3 linked regions of the Drosophila melanogaster genome follow. The protein of the gene in region 1 binds, or shares a complex with, the protein of each later gene. Each region holds a gene or a part of one and is shown in the gene's direction. Other genes may lie near its edges.

Region 1 (5,314 bases):
CGAAGGGGGGCGATGCGGGGGGCTTAGGAGAACTATGATGAAGGAGCATTTGTTGAGCAATTGGCGCAATGAAATGTGATTAAATTTTTTAGCAGATAAGAACCGAAGTAATATGTTACGTTCCACAAATTTCAGACTGTGCGCACACAGCAATATCATGATTAATTGTTAATTATAAAATATTAAAAAGATATTTCATATGAACAGCTTGGTATGCTCGGATAATTTGGAAAAAGGGCGGCTTTAGAGTATTGCACCAAAAAGGTATGCTGTAATATTTAATTTGGATGCTTTATAATGGTAATCATGGAGTTCTGAAAATCATAACTCAATCAACAATTTCGTTCTGTGCAGATGTGCCCGAATGCATGTGTATGCGATAGTGTGCGTGCGTGTGTGTGTATGTGTGTGTGTATGTGTGTGTGAATGTGCGATAGGGAGAAAAGGAGAAAACCGGTTTTGGCGATGCTTAGGAACCGCAAGGCGAAAGGGGAACGTCGGCGAGAGGGGAGGGGGCGGTGTGTGCTAAACGTATTCTGTTCGTTTTAACCAAATGTGACACACTGCAAAGTGCCACAGTGAGAAGAAGAAGAAGAAGACAACGAAGAACGAACAGGGGTAAGAAGCCGAAAAGAGGGAGGAGGAGGAGAAACAAACGGCAGTTCGCGTTTTCCCAGTCGCTTCTTGTTTTTGCCTTTGTTTGCATTTGCTTCTGCTTTTGCCCCGGCTGCATTTTCACTCTGCACGGAAATTTGCGCAGAGCGAAATGGAAAACTGCAGGGGTATGCAAATGTCGCTGTTCGCTCACCTTTATGATCAATTCTATCTCGGGCACATCGAATTTACTGCTGCCGTTCGTCTCCTGGCTCTGCTGCGATTCAACTTCCGACATTGCGATATTGTTATTATTTTTATCGTTTATTCTCGATATCTCTGATCAGATCGAAGAGTTTTTTTCTTTATCCGCGTGACGAGGTGCGTGCGTGTTCGTTTCCTTTTCGCTTTTGTTGTGCTAATTTCCTTTGCCAATACACACACTCACGTACACAAGCTGTAACACACACAGGCAGCACACTCACACACACACAGAGAGACGGAGGGAAGAAGAAGCTCGCCTCGCAGTGTTTAAAAAAAATATGCCGTTCTGTTCTACGATTTGCGCGCTGCTAAAGTCTATTCACGATTGAATTGGTTAGCCGCTGAATAAACCAATCTGCACTGCGCGAAATACACTAACGCCTGCTGTTCAGTGTTACCAGACGGTCCTGCCTTTCGGCCGGCCTATAAATACCAAGCTAATACCAAATGTTTTTAAAGTTGTACTTACAACTCCCTCTCAATAACAGTTGTTATTGGGACATTTCAATAACAGATTGCGTAATACCAAAAATACCTTATACCTACAAAACTCCCATTTGTTCTCAATTTATTCCCCAATATATCGATATTCCATAAAAATTTTGAAATTTCGCGTTCGGGGAAATCGACTATTTTCTTTGTTTTTATAACAACTTTTAGGTATTGAGAAATAATTTCTTAGTCTGCTATCTATATAAATTTTTCAATTTAATGATTTTAATTATCAAATATTCCTTTTAAATTATATACCATCTGTAGACATTATTATAGTTATTCTAACATATAACAGTTGTACTATTAAATATACCAAAAAGAATACCACCGATTGCAAACATTTTATGGCGCCGAAATAATCCGGACTGCGACCAGGTGGCAGCACTAGCAGCTTGGTGTGCGCTTCGTTGGAAATATCATTTTATTGGCACCGGCTTTTCCATCCCAATATCACGACATGGATCTGATGGAACTGCTGAAGCAGGCCCAGCGCCTGACGAACGAGACCAATACGGACACGGAGGTGCCGGGCGTGGAACGGACCATGTCCCAGGTTCTGCAGGCAACCAAGGAGTTTCACTCGCGTGTCACCCAAATGGGCACCAATGATCTGCAGGCGTGAGTAGTTCGCTATAGGCCAGGCGCCAAAAATTGTCATATTAACCGGTCATTCAAATGCAGCCACATACTGCTCGGCTCTAAGGGCGTGGACCTGCCCAAGCTTACACAGAAGCTGGAGTCGCTCAGCGCCCGCCAAACCTTCGAGCCGATTGATCCGGTGACGGAGACCAATGTGCAGGCCTATCTGAAGAACGAGCGGGAGAACGCCATACTCTCAGTTATCGATGAGACGAATCGCAGTGTGAGTGCGCCAAATGACATGCTTCAGGCAGACACCCAAAATTCTGAACTTTCTATCTCCATTAACCAATCCATTGCAGATATTTAAATCTGTGGAGCGACAGAAGTGGCGTTGCATCTACTCGGAGTGGGGCGAGGAGAAGGAAGCGCTGCTAAACGCTCTGGTCGGACCAAACCAACAGGACTTCCCCGACGTCCAGTTTCAGATAGTGCCCACGGCCATGGCTGATGAGCCCACTCCGTACTCCCAACTGAATGGCCATGAGCAGATGTACGCTGAACAGATCGCCATCCACAACCAGTCGATCATCCTGGGCAGACGCCCTAACTTGCTGTCGACCCTTGCCCACGTGGTCCAAGACTCCTTCAACGATGAGTCCGTAGCCGAGATGTGGAATGTATTGCAGTTTATGACCGCGTTGCCGCCAGTCTCGAGCACCATCGATCCAATCAAGAATCGTCAGACATCACCGCAATTCGTTGAGCAGGCCCGCACGTACTTGGAGCGCAGATATAGGACGTATATGAGAAAGTTTATCGTCGCGAATTTGGCCAAAGCGCGGCGGGGAGGAATCCCCAGCGTGTACCATATGGTCCGCTCCTATGTGGGCGTTACTCTCCAGGGGCAGCGAGCCCTCTACGGGCTGCATGACGTGAACAATGGCCAGCCATTGTGGCCACATGTTTACTATAGCTTGCGGAGTGGCGATATGGACGCGGCTGCGTTGTATCTCAAGGAATCGGGAACCTGCCCCGACCTGCTTACGCTATTGACGTTGCGAAAGAACGGCGATAGGGACAACTTGATGGTAAAGCTTGAGGGTCAGCTAAAGTTGGAGTACAACAGTAGACTGCGCGCCTGTACGGATCCCTACAAAAAGGCGGTGAGTGCTCATCTTTTGCTACAACTTGTTGCGTATATTCGTGCTAATCATATGTTTTTCTCTTTTCCATTAGGTATACGTCGTATTGTTGGCGTGTGATCCGCACTTCACTCACGTAGAACTAATGCGCAGCATCGACGACTTCCTGTGGATGCAACTGTCCATTCTGCGCAGGTCGGACCAAAGCGACAGCAACACGGAGCAGCTAACGTTCAGCGGCCTGCAATCGCTCATTTTAGAAAAGTACGGCGAGAACTACTTCAATGCGCGCGAGAAGGCGGCGCTATACTTCCAGGTGCTGACGCTTACCGGCCAATTTGAGGCCGCCATTGAATTCCTCGCCCGCACCGAGAAAAATCGAACGCACGCTATCCACATGGCCATTGCCCTAAACGAGATATCCATGCTGGGAACACCACGTTCCGTGGAACAATCCCTTCTGAGCTCCGACCCTGACGACCCAAAACCAATGAAACGACTCAATCTTGTGCGTCTGATCGTCATGTACACCAAGTGCTTTGAGAGAACGGACACCACGCAGGCGCTGCATTACTATTACCTGTTGCGCAACTTTAAATCCGAGAACGGACGCGGCAACGTGATGCTCACCTGCGTCTGCGATCTGCTAGTTGAGAAATGCGACGACGAAATGCTAGAGCTGATTTTCGGGACGGAGGATAAGAAAAACGGCTTGCGCTATGGGTATGTTACGTTTTTGGTACTCTTAAAAGATTTCAAAATCCTTTTGGCAAATAGCTAATGGTTTATTCATTCCCCTTTATTTAGCGGCATATATGCGGAATTTCAAATTCATGAATGCGATAAGTACTCTCTGGCCGAAATGGTGGGCGATGAGTTGTCGAAACGCGGCGACTACGAATTGGCCATCGAGCTCTACTTTATTGGTGGCCAGCTGGACAAGGCACTGCGTTTGGTGAACTCGCTACTGGCACAGGTGGTCCACCAACCAACGCAGAATGGAAGCGTGCGTAACCGGCTGGGCGATATTATCAATCGACTAGATGCGGCGCTGGTCGTGCGTAAATCGGACGTAGAGGTTCAAGTTGTTGTCACATATACGGTGCTGACAAAGGTCATGAAGTTCTTTGACCACTATCACGAAGGCGCATTGCGTTCGGCATTAGAAATCCTGACCAACAATCATCTGATACCCGCCAGCTCATTGGAAGTGGACGAGTGTGTGACGAACATAAAGCGGATGGGTCCCGAGGTCATTAAAGTGCTGCCCGATATCCTGCTGGCGTCCATGGACATTGTATACCAGGAGTATGTGAAGCTAATGGACTCGAATGAAACAGCTTCCGGTTTCTTTGATGAAAGCAAGTGCGTCAATAAGGAGCCCGCCGTGAAACATTTGCGAGACAGGGCCAAGGCATTCACCAACATGGCTGCCAGCGTTCCATACCGAATGCCATCGACCACCAACCAGCGGCTCGTCCAGCTGGAGATCCTTATGCACTAACATTAGCCAGATTAATACCTAGTTATCGTTTATATGCATTTCATTCAGTTCGTTTAAAATTTTATTGATGATTATATTTTTTTCTTTCCAATAATTTTATTGGAATTTTTCTGTTAAGCGCAACGCATTTAAAGCATTAAGCATTCGAAAAATTTAAAAGAAAATATTTTGTATGTATGTGTTATAAGAAAACTAAACAAAATTCAAAATGTCACACGTATATGTTAATTACTCACGGTTTAGGCAAACAATTAAAATTTTGCATTTTCGCTACTTAATAACCGAATGTATGGTATGTATCACAACAAGCCACTAACCCACTGGAATATCCACAAAAGACTTTCAGATAAGAAGTATTAAGTATTTTATTGCATAATTTGAGACACCGTTTGCTATTGCATTGAAACCTCAAGAGGTCTCAGGAACACCCCAGGACATACATATGAAGAACACATCAATATACTTGTATCAAAATAGTATTGCCAACAATGGCTGCCAACTGTCGGAGATTTTAGGAATCCATTACATAGTTTCTAACAGATCCGTTTCGAGATCCTAGTACACTGCCATAAAAATGAAGAAAAAAAAAAGCCATTAGCTTGGCCCTCGTTTCGTATAAATGCATTTGTTTTCACTTCTGTCTATTTAAGATAATATTGTTAATTGGAATAAGTTGATTGCGATAGTTTGTTCTGGTTTTGTGCGCCACTCAGTCGAAGGTCGGAAGGTCGGT
Region 2 (8,010 bases), 6.0 Mb from region 1:
AGTAATGGGGCAAGAACGGAGAAAGAGGCGCAAGAGAGAGCGAAAAAGTTAGTACACCAATTAATGGGTCGGCATTCTGTTGGACTTGAAAGCATTGAGCACTTTTTGTGGTCGTTTTTGCCCCAGCAGCTGGTCCAAAGATTAATCATTCCGCTCTCTGCGTTTGCTTTTATTAATTCTCCTTTGACCCATCGAATGGGGGGAGTGGTAAAGTTTTAAGTTTCTATATTATCAAACTATAGGAAACTATATCCATGATACTAGTTGGGCAGTCTCAACTTTGGAGTACCGAATTTGAAGTCTTTTGATCACCTAGCACTGCATAACTAGGTTATTTTCATAGCCAAGGAGTAAAGTATACTGAATACACTCGAAAAAAAAAACACTAATAGAGAATTATAGTTAATACAATTACCAACCATATGTGAGTCTACCATTTGCACCGTTCTTACTATAATTTGAAGAAGCTGTACTTTAAAGGTATAGTTCAGTTTCTTCCTGTGTACTCTGTCCTATGACTTCTTTTTTTTTTGTGTGTGGGAGCGAATTATGAAGTACAGAGGAAATGGTCGAGCAACACAAACGCACACACACATTTGGAGAAACTTGGGAGATACTTACATTTGTTATTGTTGCTGCTTCCTCGAGGCTGTGCTGTTGTTGTTGCCGCTGCTGCTGGTGGTGTTGTTGTTGTAGCTGTTGCTGGAGTAAGTGCAGTTGTTGCTGTTGTAGTTGTTGTTGCTGATGTGCCGCAATACCACCACAATCCATAGTAATTACGGGTGCGAGGGGGCGGGGTTAAGTGTGTGTGGGAGTGGAGTGGAGTCGTCAATTGGGAGCGCACTCTCTATCTCTCTCTCTCTCTCTCCAAATCTCGCTCTCTGTATTGCTGCTCCTTCGCGCGATCGCTTACTGCAGCGGAATGAAAAGCGAAACAGACATAATTGAAGAAATGCGATAGCTCTCCGTCTTGAATTTCAACGATTCGCCGTAAGGGAGCGCTGTTAACCGCTATTTCAGTCACTGTTTGTGTCTTGTTCCTTTTTTTTATTTTTTTTTATTTTCAGCTAACTCTGCAGTTTGCCTTTGTCCATATTTTCGGTGGAAAAACCACTTCCTTGCTCTCTCGCTCTGGCTCCCTTGCTCTTCTATACCGCTCTCTCTCTCGCTCGCCAGGCGTTGCGTGGGCGAACGTAGGGGAGAGAGCAAGCGAAACGAAAAGAGAGAGGCGAACGCAGTTTGGAGTTTTATGCACTGGAGTTGTGAGTATGTTCGTGTGTGCCTGTGTGACTGCTACCCCCACACACTTGCACTGCCTCTCTTCCTCTCTGTCGCTCTCGCACACCCAGTACCAAGTACTCTGAACTCCAACTCCAGTTACAAATTCAATTCCAATTCGAATAATTCCCAATGAAATTTGAATTTTCCTTCCAATTGCACTGGCTTTGGCAGTTAGTATCCCTTTTGGCATTTATTGCAGCCGAACTGCGCCGATTGCATTTGCATTTACACTTCTACATCCACTTCCACATCCACTTGCATCGACAGCCAGAACCAGCATCCCACTATGGTGCAGTTCAGCCTGCCCGCGGCCATCGGTGATTCACTCACAATGCGAACAGGACACCACTTGGGCAGTGCGTTCGCTGGCCAAATCAAGTGGCGGAGAACAGAAAAAAAAAAAAACGCGAATCGGAACAAAACAAATGGATGCTACTATCGGGTAACTACGAAAAGTCCGTGCGTAGATTTTCACGAAAACGCCCCGCCCGCGCCGCACTGAAGTTGTGTTAGTTAGTGGTGCGACAACGCACCGATGCAGCGCCTCGATTATCGTTCGATAAGCATCGATTTTCCGATTGACTTGGTTCGAATCAACCGTTTAGCCAGCGCAGCAACCGCAGTTAGCGGGCACAAGCACCGAAGCGCGTACGAGCGTGGTGAGTTCGTACGGTGGTGAACATCTGTGTTTTCCAGTATTTGCAGCACCCAGCCCTGGTAACCGGCGCCTTGTCGCAAAGCGAAGCAATCTTGCCGCGTTTTATAGTCAATAACTGCGAATCAGCAAGAACTGCGTGAACTGAGCGAACCGCAAAACCAAGTGAAATGGATGGTGAGTGCCTGGCCAACGAGCAGATGTGCGTGGGTCGCCAAATCACTAATGCCACCCATGCGTCCACAGCTGTAATCGAGGACATGTGGACGCCGTACAAGCATTTGTACAACACTTTTCAGACCGCGGTGTCCAATCGCAGTGGCTTCACCTCGGATCTGGAGCAGTGCCTCAAGAAGTACAAGCACAACTTCAGCAACTTGCTGCGCAATCCGGTGGGTATAGCAAAACAAGCGCTTGCAGATCCGTAGATTTAACTAATTATTGATAATCCATTATTGAAAATGTCGGCAGCCGAGAAGCGAGAAGAGCCGCAATCTCCTACGAAATGCCCTCAACGAAGGCGTCCCGATGCAGGGGCATTCGCGAAAGACAAAGATGTCACAGGACCTGGCCGACGAGGCGGTCATTCTGTCCGACATGTTCGATCTGGACGAGGGTTTCGCCGTGGAGCTGCTGTGCACCGCACAGCGCCAGCAGAAGCATCATCCCGGCCTGTCCAGAGGCCTTGTCGCGGTGCTGCTCTACTACGATGGACGAAAGGCCATCAGCTGCACGCTTCGCGACATGTTCCAGGTGGTTAGCGGCGTCTCGTGGAACACCGAACTGCCCAAGGAGGTAAGTTTCGAGATTTCGACATCGCAGGCATCGCAGTGCCGCTGAAAGAGAGATTCACTGACCCTGATTATCGTTCTACGCACGCAGATCACCGGTCTGGTCACTAACTATGCCGAGAGCCTTGTCGACGGCTCTGGGATACTGGGACGCCTGCTGCAGCTGCTCGAGGAGATGGATGTCGACAAGGAGGTGGGTTTGTATGCGCCTGTTTCTGAAATTCTCTGAAATTGCATATCTTCCTTCGCAAATTGTTATTCATTTGTTGTCCAACGTTCGCAGTGCGCTATGCTGACCACAAACCGCGCGTTTGGCTCCAAGAAGCATCAGAACCAGGTGCTCGGCCTATACGAGGACATTCAACAGGCATTGGCAATGGCCCTGTTCAATTGGTCGGCACAACGCGGCCTGCCGCGACACATTGCCATTCGGCTGATGCACCAATTGGCCAACCGAAAGAACCACGACGCGGGCGGCAACATGGACGACGTGACCCTGATCATGCTGATGGCTCTGCTGTATGCGTACGATACCTCCATGCTGCTGGTCACCGAGGAACCCAATGAGCACACAACCCGACTTCCGATCTTCAGCGATCGCGAGTTCGCCGAGTGCTTCCTGGAGGAGCTGTACGCGCAGAGCAGCTGGCAAGCACCGCGCCTGAATGCCATCATTGCCTACAGCTTCGGACTAACGCTGGCCAGCCTGCGGCATGCACCTTTGCAGCTTCAGGCCACCGCCATCTCGATCATCAATCGCGATGAGATGCTCATCGACGAGGCACTGGGAGCGCAGGTATTCGTCTTCTTCCACAGCTTGCTGCTCGAGAAGGATCTGGTCTATAGGTGAGTACTGACAACTGAAGTGTCAATTGCCGATTCGCAAGCTAATCATCATTTGTGCTGACAGCACGCAGTTCTTCTACCGCCGCGTCCATCTGCTCATCACGGACTTCATCGACTTCATGAACTCCAAGGTGTCGGAGCTGCGCGGCCGAGCAGACGAGTCGTCACACACGATCATCAGCTTCCTAAACGAGGGTCTGGAACCGCCGCCCAACTTGGACTCCAACTTTGAGCTGCTCATGCTGTGCGTGGCCAAGATGCACGGCGATCCGCGCGTCACCATCAGGCTGTGCAACGAGTACTGGGGCCCCGGCGATCCCAACGGCTCTACGGCATTCAAGAACACCTCGCGCTCGGTGTCGCTGTTCAAGTTCATTAGCTTGGCCAGCGACCTGCTGCCACAGACGCTGTTCAAGGCCTACCTCAAGATGATATCCGGACTTACACGGACCGATTTCTCGGCTCGATGCGCCTTCAACATGCTTAGGGTGCCCCAGATGGCCACCGGCGGCAAGTATGCGGTTAGCTGGGATCACTTCTTCACCACCCTGGGCAACTACTATACGTAAGTGTGACTCAAATCTGGTATTGAAGATCTCTCTGAAGATCACTATCTTCTAGTTCGATGCGCAACGACTTTAACACCAACATCGGCATGAGCGGCGAGACCATTTACCGCACCCGATCGACACCAAAGGCCATTACGCAGCGAGAGGCGGAGCATCTGGTGGCCGTAATGGGCATCATACAGGCGGTGGCGGAACACGACGAGGTCTCGCGCATCATGATCTGTGACCATCCCAATTGGCAGACGCCGCAGGTGCTCCTGGGCCTGGTTGCGTGCGCCACGCCGCTTTTTTTGAAGGCGGAGATTCTGCACACGCTGGCTGCCCTGGCCAAATCGAAGGAGACGGCGCGCGTCATCTGGTTCCACCTGGAGGCCTCGCAGATTATACCCACTGTGCCCGTGTCTAGAAGCTATGCCCAGTGCAGTTTGTTGGAGGAGATGGAACAAATCGAGAGCCGTTCGGAGCAGTATAACCTGACGCGCGGCATCCTCCAATTGCTCTACACACTGATGACCACCAATCTGCCGAAGAGTTTGGGCGCCGGGCAACGGACACCGGCCTACGAAGGCTATCTAAAGTCCATGATAAATTCGGTGTTGCTCAAGTTTTACAATCGCGCGTACAAGGTTCCCTCCGAGAAGTGGCAAGTTGGCGCCCAGTGCCTGAAACTGCTCTACTACCTACTGGCCACCTATCGGCCGTCCGCAATGGATTTTCTGGAGACAGTCGATGAACCTCCCTATCCGGGCTTTCACGTTATGATGCAGCTGCAGCTGAAGTCCGAAATGTTGCAGCTGCTGCTGTGCATTGTGGAGGAGGTGCGTGAGCGGCTGGACAACTACAATCGCTTTCAGGGCAAGAAGCTACTCGAGGAGTGCTCATTGTACGCACTGCTGATCCTGGAAGCCGCATTGGCGAAACAGAACGCCTTCTTTGAGGCCCACTCGGCGGCCAATTGCCCCATTTTGCTGTCGGGCCTGAATCGCATGCTCCTGGATCTGAATCCACGCAGTCGCAAGCCCGATCACGTGCTGAATATCATTAAGTATGTAACCTATAATAGCTGGCTGCCGCGGCACGCCCTGGCCGCCATTAAGATTCTGGCTTCGGTCACCCAGCTGCCGAATGTCTCCACCCAGATTCTCAGCATGTACGGTCAGGGCAGCAATGAGAAGCTCGAGATTCGTCAGGGTTTCGTCGAGTGCCTGGAAATGGAGGTGTGCGTGGGCAAGCACGACGACGATTTGTTGGACCAACTGGCCCTCAACAATCACGTTCCGTATCTGGGATTCGGCGATGATCTGGACAATGAGCGAGAGATGAGCGGGGAACGCGAATATTCAACTATTGAATCGCAACTGGAGCTGCAGGCGGGGGATGGCGCGCTGGAGAGCAAACCGGCTAGCATTGAGCTGCAACTGAAAGAGGCCATTATCAAGCTGTTCGAGATGAATCTTAGCCAGCAGTTGCCCAACTTTGTGTACTTCCTGCTCGGCGTGGATGTGCTGCGCGAATTTATGGCCAACGGACGGCAGCACCTGGCCATCGAGATGCAAAGCTCGTGCGTGAACTCCGTAGTGCTGTTGCTGGAAAAGTACATGGATGTGAGTTGAAAGCCATTGGCCATTACTATCTATTCTAACTAACTAACTAACTAACTAACTTACCAACTTTTAACAATCAAATCAATCTCTGATATTGCAGAAACAGCGTCACAGCGATAAGTACTGCGAGCACACGGCGAGAATCGTGGAGCGCATTTACCATCTGTTCCATGGACTCTGCGCCAATCGCCGCACCGCGGAGACGATACTGCGCTACTTCCGGCTAACGTGCAGCGACTTCCTGCTGCGTCACCTACGCTCGCTGCCCTTCCGGCAGCATCGCGAGGATCATGTGCTGCACGCCATGGGCCACCTGCTCAACTGCGTCTCTATCGATGTCAAACTGGCGGCCAAACATGGCCAGATGACGCGCTTCAACCAGATGTGCGACATTTTGCTAATTGGAAACGGAATGGAGCGTTCATCCCATGGCCTGTCGATGGAATTGGGCCACAGCCTGATTTCACAGCCGTCGTCGTCTTTCCTCGCCATGGATGTGCTACCGGCCGGTGGATCGATAAGTGCCGTGGCACATGGGGCTGGTTCGGCGTCTCTCGGAGCTCCAAACACTGGGGTCAAATCACTTAAGCCATCGCTGCTGCAGGAGACATCGCAGGGACTGCATGTCACCCGACTGCTAGATATTCTCGTCCTGGAGGCGGGCACGTTGAGCCAGCCGCAGCTGGAGTTCTTCGACGGGCATCTGATCACTCAACTGCTGCGCGACTGCGAGGCATCCGCCGAAGCTGGCGCCAATTCCAGGGCCAACTTGATCAACGTGCGCAAACTGTACTACATTCTCACCGACGAGCTGTACATGGTGCAGAGCATCATTGCCAGCGGCCAGCGGAAGGCCATTTCCACGGAAATCATGCTGCTGCTCAATCACGCCGTCAACATAAATCGCGTGCGGACACAGCGCTGCGCCACGCTGGCCTTCATGGCAGCATGGGGTCAACTGGTGCAGGTGCTCTTTAGCAACATGCCCGATGCCGTGCTTCCGGCGACGCAGCGTCGCCAGCACATCATCGATATCGTCGAGAAGGTACTCATCAAGGTGCAGCCCATACAGCCCATCATCGAGATATCCGTACAGGTGAGCGAGACGGTGCTGCTGCTGCTTGCCAATTTGCGCTACTGCTGCTACCAGGCCGAGGACCAGAGCCCCGAGGATCTGGCCGCCGAGGATTCGCTCAGCAATGGCAATGGCAACGCCATCGGCAACGATTCGCAGGTGAACGCATTGTGTCTGGGCCAGAGGGCAATCGGAACTGGTTCGGATGGCGGCAGTGGAGGTGGACGGGATATCGGTTCCGGTGGCAACAGCAGCAATCTGCGATTCATTCTCAAGAACCTCGTCCAGTGGATCATGATCAGTGAGGTGAAGTCGCAGAAGCTGCGCATCAATCTGTACAGTTCGCTGCTGAATTGCCTGCGGATCGCGAAGCGACTGCGCACCGACGAGCATCTGGAGTACCAGGAGACGTAAGTGTATCCTTCTCAACAGCAGTAGCAGGCAGTTGTAGCTTTCATTCTATTTCATTGCAGATTGATTTCGCGCCAGGAGAGTGCACGCACGTACAACAAGGAGCAGCGGCGCGACGATCGCCTGCGGCTGAAGGCCATGGCGGCGGAAGTGATTGGCACGTTCGGCGAGAAGCTGATCGACACCATCTGCCACGATGCGGTGACCGGCCACGATGTGTGCCGCATGCTGGCGCTGGCCTGCCTGGACATGATCTCCGAGCTGCAGGCGGTGAGCACGCTATGCGACTTTGTGGCATCGCGTGGCTACCTCAAGCACATACTGGAAAGCCTTGATCAGTCCAGTACGGCGCTTTGCGGGATTCTGCAGCCCGTGCCGGATCACCTGAGGCCGCTCTACGTCTACGAGTCGCGCATGGCCTTCCTCACGCGCATGGCGAACAGCAATGTGGGAGCCCGGCTCCTCCTCACCGAGCAGGCGCTGGGCGTGCTTTCGAATATGAAGGTCTATGACCAGCAGCCCGACCTGAAGTCCAGCGAACTGAATCGTAACGAGCCGCAGACCTTCCTCCCGTCCATCGATGACCGCTTCCGGTCGATCCTCCTGCCGGCGCTGAGCCTCTGCGATGCCATTGTCAACTCGCTGGGTCCGCGCAACAACTCCGCCGCCGTGCAGGTGCTTAACTTTCTGTTCGCCCACATCGACATGGTCGAGGCCATGTTGCGCTCGGCCACGCCGTATATGGACCTCGGCCACCTGCAGCAGGTGGCGGTCATTA
Region 3 (7,573 bases), on another chromosome or scaffold:
TATTGATTTGAACCGATTACTAATTTCATTATCAAAAGTAAAGTCTAGTTCGAAGTTAAGATGTATTGACATAATGGAAAATGCTAACGGAGGTATTGTGTGCTTGAACAAATGAGGTGCTAGCTACTTGGCCGCGACTGTGCCACACTATGGGCAAGCGTCGAGTTGCGATCTATAAATATTGACAACAATAGCGGAGTCACAGAGAGTCGCCGGGTCGCCGACAGGCTATATCCACATGTTCTGCACCCAAATCGGGCGAGGCGAGTGCGTCGGCCTCGGGAACACAGAGACGCAGAAGCTTGGAAAGTTGCAACTCCAAATTAGGAGTTCAATCGAGGGTTACACACACAGGCCGCGCACACTCGCGCACAAGTGAACGGTACTTTGCGACAGCTGATTAATAAACAAACAATCCGGCAATCAGCGAATCGAGGAACCACGGAAATGTATAAAACTTAGAAATCAGAAGCGTGACGCCCACACAATTAGGAAACGACGACGGGCTTCGTAGGTGCTTTTCTCGCTTTCGAAGGCCGAGCTTGAAAAGTTAGTTTTGTTTTTTTTTGGGGGTCAGCAGCTGTAGCGCTCTCACTCGCACTCACACTCACTTGCGGTGGCTATGAAGTCGGGATTTGCTATAGTAGTAATCGGTTATTACTCACATTATAAGCCGCGAAAACAGGCTGCTGATCATCTTGAGCGTCGCCTGGCTGCTCTAGGGGAAAACTGTAGGGTATTTAATTAGAGTCCACTCCGTTATCCTGGCCTCCTTTCCAACCCCAATTTTCACCTGGAATTTCCTTGACTTTTCCGTAAATTATGTGATTTGGGGTACTTTATGGGCAATATCGAAATAAAATCCACAGATTTCTGTTTAAGTCGATTTAAATTTCATTTACTTTTTGGTAACTGCGATTGAATTCGAAGGATTTCGAGATTAATTGGCTACGCAATTTTTAGCACCGTGTTGCGTCGCCTGTGGATAATTGCGAATCGCCAGCTCGACCTCTACTACATGGCTTTGTGCAATCACAGTCGAAACAGCCGATGCTTTGTGCCCTGCTTTGCAAATGCATTCGCATTGCCCGCGAACAAATCGCTTTTGTTTAATTCTCAGCAAACAAAAAGAAACGCTTGTAGGACAGAGACAGACGAACAACAACAAGGCTGCTGCGCTAGCGATGTGCTGAAATTTTCGTTCTCGCACATACTGTCCAAAACAAAATACCGTCTGAAAAAATACCAACAAAGTGCAATTGCCATATGGTCAACCGCTAAGACAAGATTGGTGAATACTTAATTCAAGCTAAGTTGGTTTCTTTTAGTTAACAAGTTCATCAGTTAGTTATAGGAGAAAACTATTTTTATATAAGATTTTATCCCATTTTCTTTTTAAAGGAACATCTATGAAATTTAAATCAGATTGTATTGTATATGTTGTTGGATTTTTTGGTGGTGAGTTTTTGTGGTGAGTTTCCTGAAAGTGACCGTACTGCAAGTGGCGCGCTTTTTGCTTGCCAACGTTTCCAACGATCTCAACTTGCAGCCACACCATCGACTCGATTGGGAAATCGACAAGCCGCAAAAAATTTGGCGAAATAGGAGCGAAAACAGACAAAAATGGCGCAGAATGCACCAGACTGCGAGGACACGCAGGTAAGCACAATTGCATAGCACTGAGATGTCAAACATTCCATTGGTTTTGGTCGCAGGACTTTCAATTCAAACTGCACCACAAGATTGTTGCGTTCAAAAAATGCGGTGAGCCCCGCAGCAATGTGAACCTGCTGGCGGTCTCCAGTAGCCGGGGATTGCTCTTTGCCGGGAGTCCAACGCAGCCGGAACTCAAAGGTAATGTAGCTTGAGTTAGCTAGGCTAAATATATAAATTTATCCTGGCACTCCTTGCAGTGATTATTGTAAAGGATTTGGTCAATGCGAAGAGCACAGCCCAACAGCCGCAGGCGCGTCTGGTGCCACTGCCCAGTATTCCGAATTACATTGCCTGCAGCTCCGATGGCAACCTGCTGGCCGTGAATCACACCCAGAACGGCACCAGCCTGCTCAGCATATATGCGGTGCTATCGTTCATGACCCCTGATGTACGTCCTGTTTATAATATTCGCCTCGCCGCCGAGGATCACGTGCACGGCGTCCAGCTCCTCTGGAATCCCGTGCTGCCCAACAGCCTGGCCGTTGTTTTGAGCAACGGAGCGCTCGCGATGTATGCCCTGAAGGAGGGGGGAAACTTTGAAATGCACTCGCTGGACAAAAATCAACAAGTTAAGTGCGGCTGCTGGTCGCCCAAGGGCAAACAGATCGTTCTTGGTTTTCCCGGCGGCACGGTGAAGCAGTTCAAGCCGGATCTGACTCTGGCCAAGACGCTTTTGTGTCCTCCGAATATACATGATGCCCCCTTTGACACCATTGCTATACAGTGGCTGTCGACTTTCCAGTTTGCAGTGATCTTTCTCCAGCATGGCGAGGACTGTAGCCCCTCGCTTTACATTCTAAATGCTCCCAAGGCTGGTGCGCCCAGCTACATAAACTACTATGACATCTGCTATAGCATGAACGGCCCGAGGAATCATCAGTTCGTATTTAGCCATGTGCCCCAGTGGAATCTGCTGCTCGTAGTCTCGGCCAATGGCGTAGAGGTGGGCATCATGCGGTCAACCGAGGCCGGCGATACACCCGCTTGGCAGCAGCTTACATTGCTGGATGAGGCACGCATTGAAATGCCCCTAAGTGAGGACAAGGATGAGACCTTCCCGCTGGGCTTTGCCTTCGACACTTCTACAACGCACCAGCTGACGATAAATGAGAAGAAGCTGCAGACTATGCCCATGGTTCATGTTTTGAGTTCGGATGGAGAATTGCTCTCGTTCAACTTTCTTAATGTGCTGCCGACGGCGGTGTCTGTTTGTTCGCCACCTCCTCCAGTGGCCGATACTTCTGGGCAGTTCAAGCCGTTGAATATGCTGCTTGCTAGTGAGGAAGAAGAGCAGCCAGCTTGGGCAGCCAGTCCCTCCAAGGCTCCAGCTGCAACTCCTGCTGCTTCCTCGGACATATCCTTTGCATTTACACCGAATACCGTTACTTCAACCCCAGCTCCCTCGAAGGATAAGCAACCATCATTGTTTTCTGGCTTTGGAGCAGCTGCAGCTAAGGCACCTGCTCCGCAACTATCTTTTGGTACTGCTCCGACTTCTAGTCCGGTTTCGTTTGGTGCTCCAACTACCAATGCAGCCAAGCCAACAACACCGTTTGGTGGGTTTGGCACGCAGGCAACGACTACTGCCATGGGAAGCATGTTTTCGGCTTCAGGAGCAAATGCCTTTGGGGGAATGGCATTGAATAAACCGGCTATTGCCAGTGTGACACCCCGAACAGCGGCACCTGGGTCAACAGTACCCGCAACTCCTGCTTCTGCTCCAGCAAACAAACCACTGTACACGGTTCCTTTAACATTCACACCAGTGGACACAAAACCAGCCACTTCAGCTCCTCCACAAATCGCAGATGAAAGTCTTAAGCCTGATGACACTGAGCCTATTATCAAGGACATGATTGCCCTACAAATCGAAGCCTTTAGCAAGGATATCCAAAAGCAAAAGGAACAGACGAAGGAACTCCTCAAAGGCGTAAGTAGTGTTGGTATTACACTGCTTCATGTATTAAAGTTGTTATTCCGCAGATTGCAGCACCATCTGCTTTGAGGGCATACGCAAAGAGACTGGATGACCTCCAAGAGCTCAATGAACAAGCCAAGGATGTGGAGTTCGAGTTAGATGTACAGGGATTGCGACAGGGTCTTAATGAGGCCTATGCCATCGTAGCAGAGTGCCGCGGGAAACTGGAGATTTATAGAAAACCAGAGTGGGTAAAGGACTCTTTGAATATATAAGCTATTTAAAACCCGTAATTTTCGTTTAGGATTACGCGTTTAATGAACTCAAGCTCCTGTGATCCCTCTGGCCGTCGCATGCTAGCTCGTCTTCAGAGCTACGTGGCTGCCAATGAGGCCCAGCTGCGTCTTGCCCAGCAGCATGTCGATTTGCAGTGGGAACAGTTTCAGGATGTTGTGCGGCGCAATTCGAAGTCTCGCATGCACATGCCTTGCCTAGAGGGAATCTATCAACGACTGACAAGACTACAAAATCTAACTTCTAACCAGCGAATTGTACAGAACAACATCAAGTCCAAACTGAAGGAGCGCGGATTGCTTCAGGCCGCACTGCTCGACCAGGAGAAAAGTCGCACCCGCACCAACGAAGCGTTAGTAGAAGTTATTGTGACCTCTCTCTTTATGCGACTATAACTTTTTTATTTAGAGTGGATACATTGACCGACTCCATTCTCACGATGAGTCTTAGCCAGGTAGTGGACTCTAATGCAGCCAAGCTCACTCGAGAAAGACTACAAAAAATCCGTAATATTGTTCAGCTGCAGAAGATCAATGTTATTTGTCCCCAGCGACCAGATCGAGTGGGGCTCAAGTCGGAGGTTATTTTGGAAACGAAACGTAGGGCGGAGCAAATTAAAAGGGCAGCAGCCAAGCCTGCAACAGCCAACAAATACACCCAAGCAGCAGTCGCTCCGCCTTCACCACCAGATGTTGCACCCACGCCAGCTGTTGCACCCATGCCACAAGCAACTGTTACAGTGGCTCCTCCGCTGCCTAAACCAATGCCATCTATACCGTCCGTTGTGGAAAAGCCTGGAGTGCCCACACATCCGACAACTCCAGTGGCTACGCCATTTTCCTTCAGCCAAAGCATCCCATTTGTGAAGACATCTACTGTGACGCCAACGACAAATACTGTGACTCCTGGCGAAGCAGCCAAGCCGGGTTTATCCATTTTCGGCGGCAGTACTATTTCCAGCTTTAGTTTTGGTGGTGGTGCTGCCAAGTCGGCACTCTCATTCGGAACAGGATCGCCAGCCGTGGCAGCTCCTACACCAAAACCAAACCCGTTGTCAGCGGTCGAAAAACCAACACCCGAGCCGACTAAGCCCAAAGAGCAGAAAGCAGCAGAAAGCAAAGAATTCAAGGCGGTACAACCCGAAACAGAAGAGTCAAAAGTACCCCAAAAACCAAAGGCAGAGACGGAAAACAAATCCTTTGGATTTGGAGGATTTACAGGAACTGGAGGTACTGTCGGAAATACTTCCAGCTCCCCGTTCAGCTTTGGCGGACTGGGTTCATCTCTAGGCTTCGGAGGAACAGCCGCTGCTGTGCCAAAATCTGAACCTTCCAGCACAGCAACCACTAGTGTAGCCACATCAGCTTCAACTGCACCATTTGGCATCTTCTCAGCAGCTTTGGCGAAACCATCCAACTCTGAACCGATCACCACGGTCACTAGCAACACAACCACCATCACCAGCAAGCCTACGAATGTAATTGCTTCGAGCAGCGTAACTGATGCTCCTTCCGTCACCACAACAAATGCAGTGACCAGCAGCACGGATCCTATTGGAGGCCTCTTTAGCTCTGTGACTATCTGCAAGCCCAACACTCCTGCAGGTAAGCTATAGTTTCCTTTATCAATATACCTTACGCATAAATGTATACGCTTATTTGGCATAAACTCTAAACGGCTATATATGTCTTTTACTTTGCAGATACCACCAAACCAGCCAACATTTTTGGAGGAGGTTTATCCGCTGGTAGCTTTTCATTTGGCGGAACGATTGATGCCTCAAAGGGATTATTCGGCAGTACCAAACCAGTGGCAACAGCTCCCACAAGTGTGACGGAGGCGAACAACAAAACTGATCCTATTTCAACCACCCCATCAGCCATTTCGACTACTACTGCTACGACGACTGTGTCTAGTCCAGCAGTAGTTCCTGCGGCAGTTACCGCAGCAGTTCCGGCAACATCGAGCACAACGGTAACATCTAGCACTGCTGTTCCCGGCAGTGCGTTCTCCTTCTCAAACGCATTTAGCACCCTAAGTGCGGGAGGTGCTGCAGCTCCAACTACCAGCGCTTCAGCTCCCTTAGCTGCCAAAAGCCCAACCGCTACATCTACAGGCAATAACTCGTCGAATTCAGTGTTTGGTGGTGGCTTCGCAGTAGCAACATCAACAGCGGCTCCAGTGGCTAGTCCCTTTCAGTCAGCTGCAAAAAGTCCAGTTTCGAGTGCAAACATTTTTGGCAGTATACCTAAGGCGGAGACCAGCGTTTTCGGAGGAGCTACAACTGCTCCTTCAAACACCACGGCTGCGGCAACACCAGATGCACCACCAGCGGGTCTCTTTGCATCGGCCGCGATTAGTAACCCTTCGCCGTTTGGTAGTCCCACGACTAGAGCACCAGCCTCTGGCGGTAACATTTTTGGTCAGGCTGTTAAGCCAAGTGTCTTTGGACAACCAGCACAAGCAGGCGATAGCGGAGGATCTATTTTTGGTGGCGGATCCGCCAGTACACCTTTTGGATCCAGCTCAATTTTTGGAGGAGGTAATACGCAGGGCGCAGTCGGCGCTCCGGCTGCAGGAAGTACTTCAATTTTTGGCCAAAAAGTGTTTGGTCAATCATCAGCGGCTGCACCGGCAGCAGGTGGGAATATATTCTCCAATCCCGTCGGCAGTCCGCAAGCTTCTCCTTTTGGTGGCGGAGGAAACTCTATTTTCGGATCACCAGCAACAGCTCCGCCCGCATCTGGCGGATCGATCTTTGGGGGTGGCAGCAGCTCTGGTGGATTTGGCTCCTTCACGCAGACGACACCAGCTCAGGGGGGCTTCGGTGGTGGATTTGGCCAGGGCGGGGGTGGATCTGTGGCCCAGACAGGTTTTGGCTCACCACAAGCCCCGCAGCAGCAAACTACGACACCAGGTGGGTTTGGAGCCAAGCCCGTTTTCGGTGGATCCCCGGCCTTTGGAGCTAGCCCCACTTTTGGGGGAGGTGCCACCTTTGGCAGTCCGAAGGGTTTCGGTGGATTTGGCGGTGCCAGCCCAGTAGCCTCCCCTCCACCCTTTGGTGCTGCTGCAAAGCCGGCACAGGGAAACATTTTTGAAACGTTGGGGGGACAGGAATCGGGACTCTCTTTCGGAAATCTAGCACAGACTGGAAACTCAAATGCACAGAAACCAGCGTTTGGCGGGTAAGTTCGACCGACATACATACATATGCATACTTATATAAGTATTTCCAAGAATGCATACGACTAACGAAATATTAAATTTTACTATTTCAGATCGAGCTTTATGAATTATCGTTGAGTTCATAATAAATGTGTTGCATAACTCAATAGTTTTGCTTGTTCAGTTTTCATGAAATAAGAATACCAGTTAAAATTAAAAATCTTAAATCTTAAATCTTTATTAAAATTAAAAAAAAAAAAACTGTGTTTTTACTTCACGCGAAATGTGTGTACTGAACTTTATTTAGTATTTATAGTCTAGTATGATAAGGGTTTCTTTTTTTATGAAATACTTGCTATGGTATTATGCTCATGCTAAGGTTATCACCTATTTCATTCGAACATCTCATGAGATGCAGACACGTCTGGCTTGGATTCCCGTCATTTTTTGGTTCCTCAAAGATGTGGGTGCTTCAATCTT

What was found. Proteins that work in one complex are often made in the same cells at the same time.
Region 2: Nup93-1 (region 1) and Nup205 share a complex: the UniProt entries of both Drosophila melanogaster proteins name them as parts of the nuclear pore complex.
Region 3: Nup93-1 (region 1) and Nup214 share a complex: the UniProt entries of both Drosophila melanogaster proteins name them as parts of the nuclear pore complex.

The regions. Positions count from the first base shown.
Region 1 is NC_004354.4:13,821,117-13,826,430, forward strand, and holds Nup93-1 (nucleoporin 93kD-1), read left to right. Parts: upstream 1-1,709; 5' UTR 1,710-1,810; coding exon 1,811-1,971; intron 1,972-2,034; coding exon 2,035-2,215; intron 2,216-2,294; coding exon 2,295-3,098; intron 3,099-3,171; coding exon 3,172-3,800; intron 3,801-3,884; coding exon 3,885-4,581; 3' UTR 4,582-4,794; downstream 4,795-5,314. Other genes in the region: Clic (chloride intracellular channel), read right to left, coding at 809-892. UniProt on the Drosophila melanogaster protein: Required for nuclear pore complex assembly, maintenance and function. Required for nuclear import of phosphorylated Mad via importin msk. Has no role in classical nuclear localization signal (cNLS)-dependent nuclear import via importin-beta.
Region 2 is NC_004354.4:19,850,242-19,858,251, forward strand, and holds the start of Nup205 (nucleoporin 205kD), read left to right. Parts: upstream 1-1,972; 5' UTR 1,973-2,106; coding exon 2,107-2,328; intron 2,329-2,407; coding exon 2,408-2,731; intron 2,732-2,818; coding exon 2,819-2,920; intron 2,921-3,010; coding exon 3,011-3,573; intron 3,574-3,637; coding exon 3,638-4,138; intron 4,139-4,194; coding exon 4,195-5,746; intron 5,747-5,846; coding exon 5,847-7,231; intron 7,232-7,294; coding exon 7,295-8,010. Other genes in the region: pico, read right to left, coding at 622-771. UniProt on the Drosophila melanogaster protein: Plays a role in the nuclear pore complex (NPC) assembly and maintenance, but with limited role in NPC permeability. Required for specific nuclear import pathways such as Mad import.
Region 3 is NT_033778.4:22,918,705-22,926,277, reverse strand, and holds Nup214 (nucleoporin 214kD), read left to right. Parts: upstream 1-1,535; 5' UTR 1,536-1,623; coding exon 1,624-1,659; intron 1,660-1,715; coding exon 1,716-1,854; intron 1,855-1,913; coding exon 1,914-3,646; intron 3,647-3,699; coding exon 3,700-3,881; intron 3,882-3,938; coding exon 3,939-4,280; intron 4,281-4,336; coding exon 4,337-5,532; intron 5,533-5,630; coding exon 5,631-7,113; intron 7,114-7,206; coding exon 7,207-7,231; 3' UTR 7,232-7,341; downstream 7,342-7,573. Other genes in the region: CG30187 (uncharacterized protein), read left to right, coding at 7,506-7,573. UniProt on the Drosophila melanogaster protein: Part of the nuclear pore complex. Serves as a docking site in the receptor-mediated import of substrates across the nuclear pore complex including emb, RanGAP and phosphorylated Mad. Protects mbo/Nup88 from proteasomal degradation at the nuclear pore.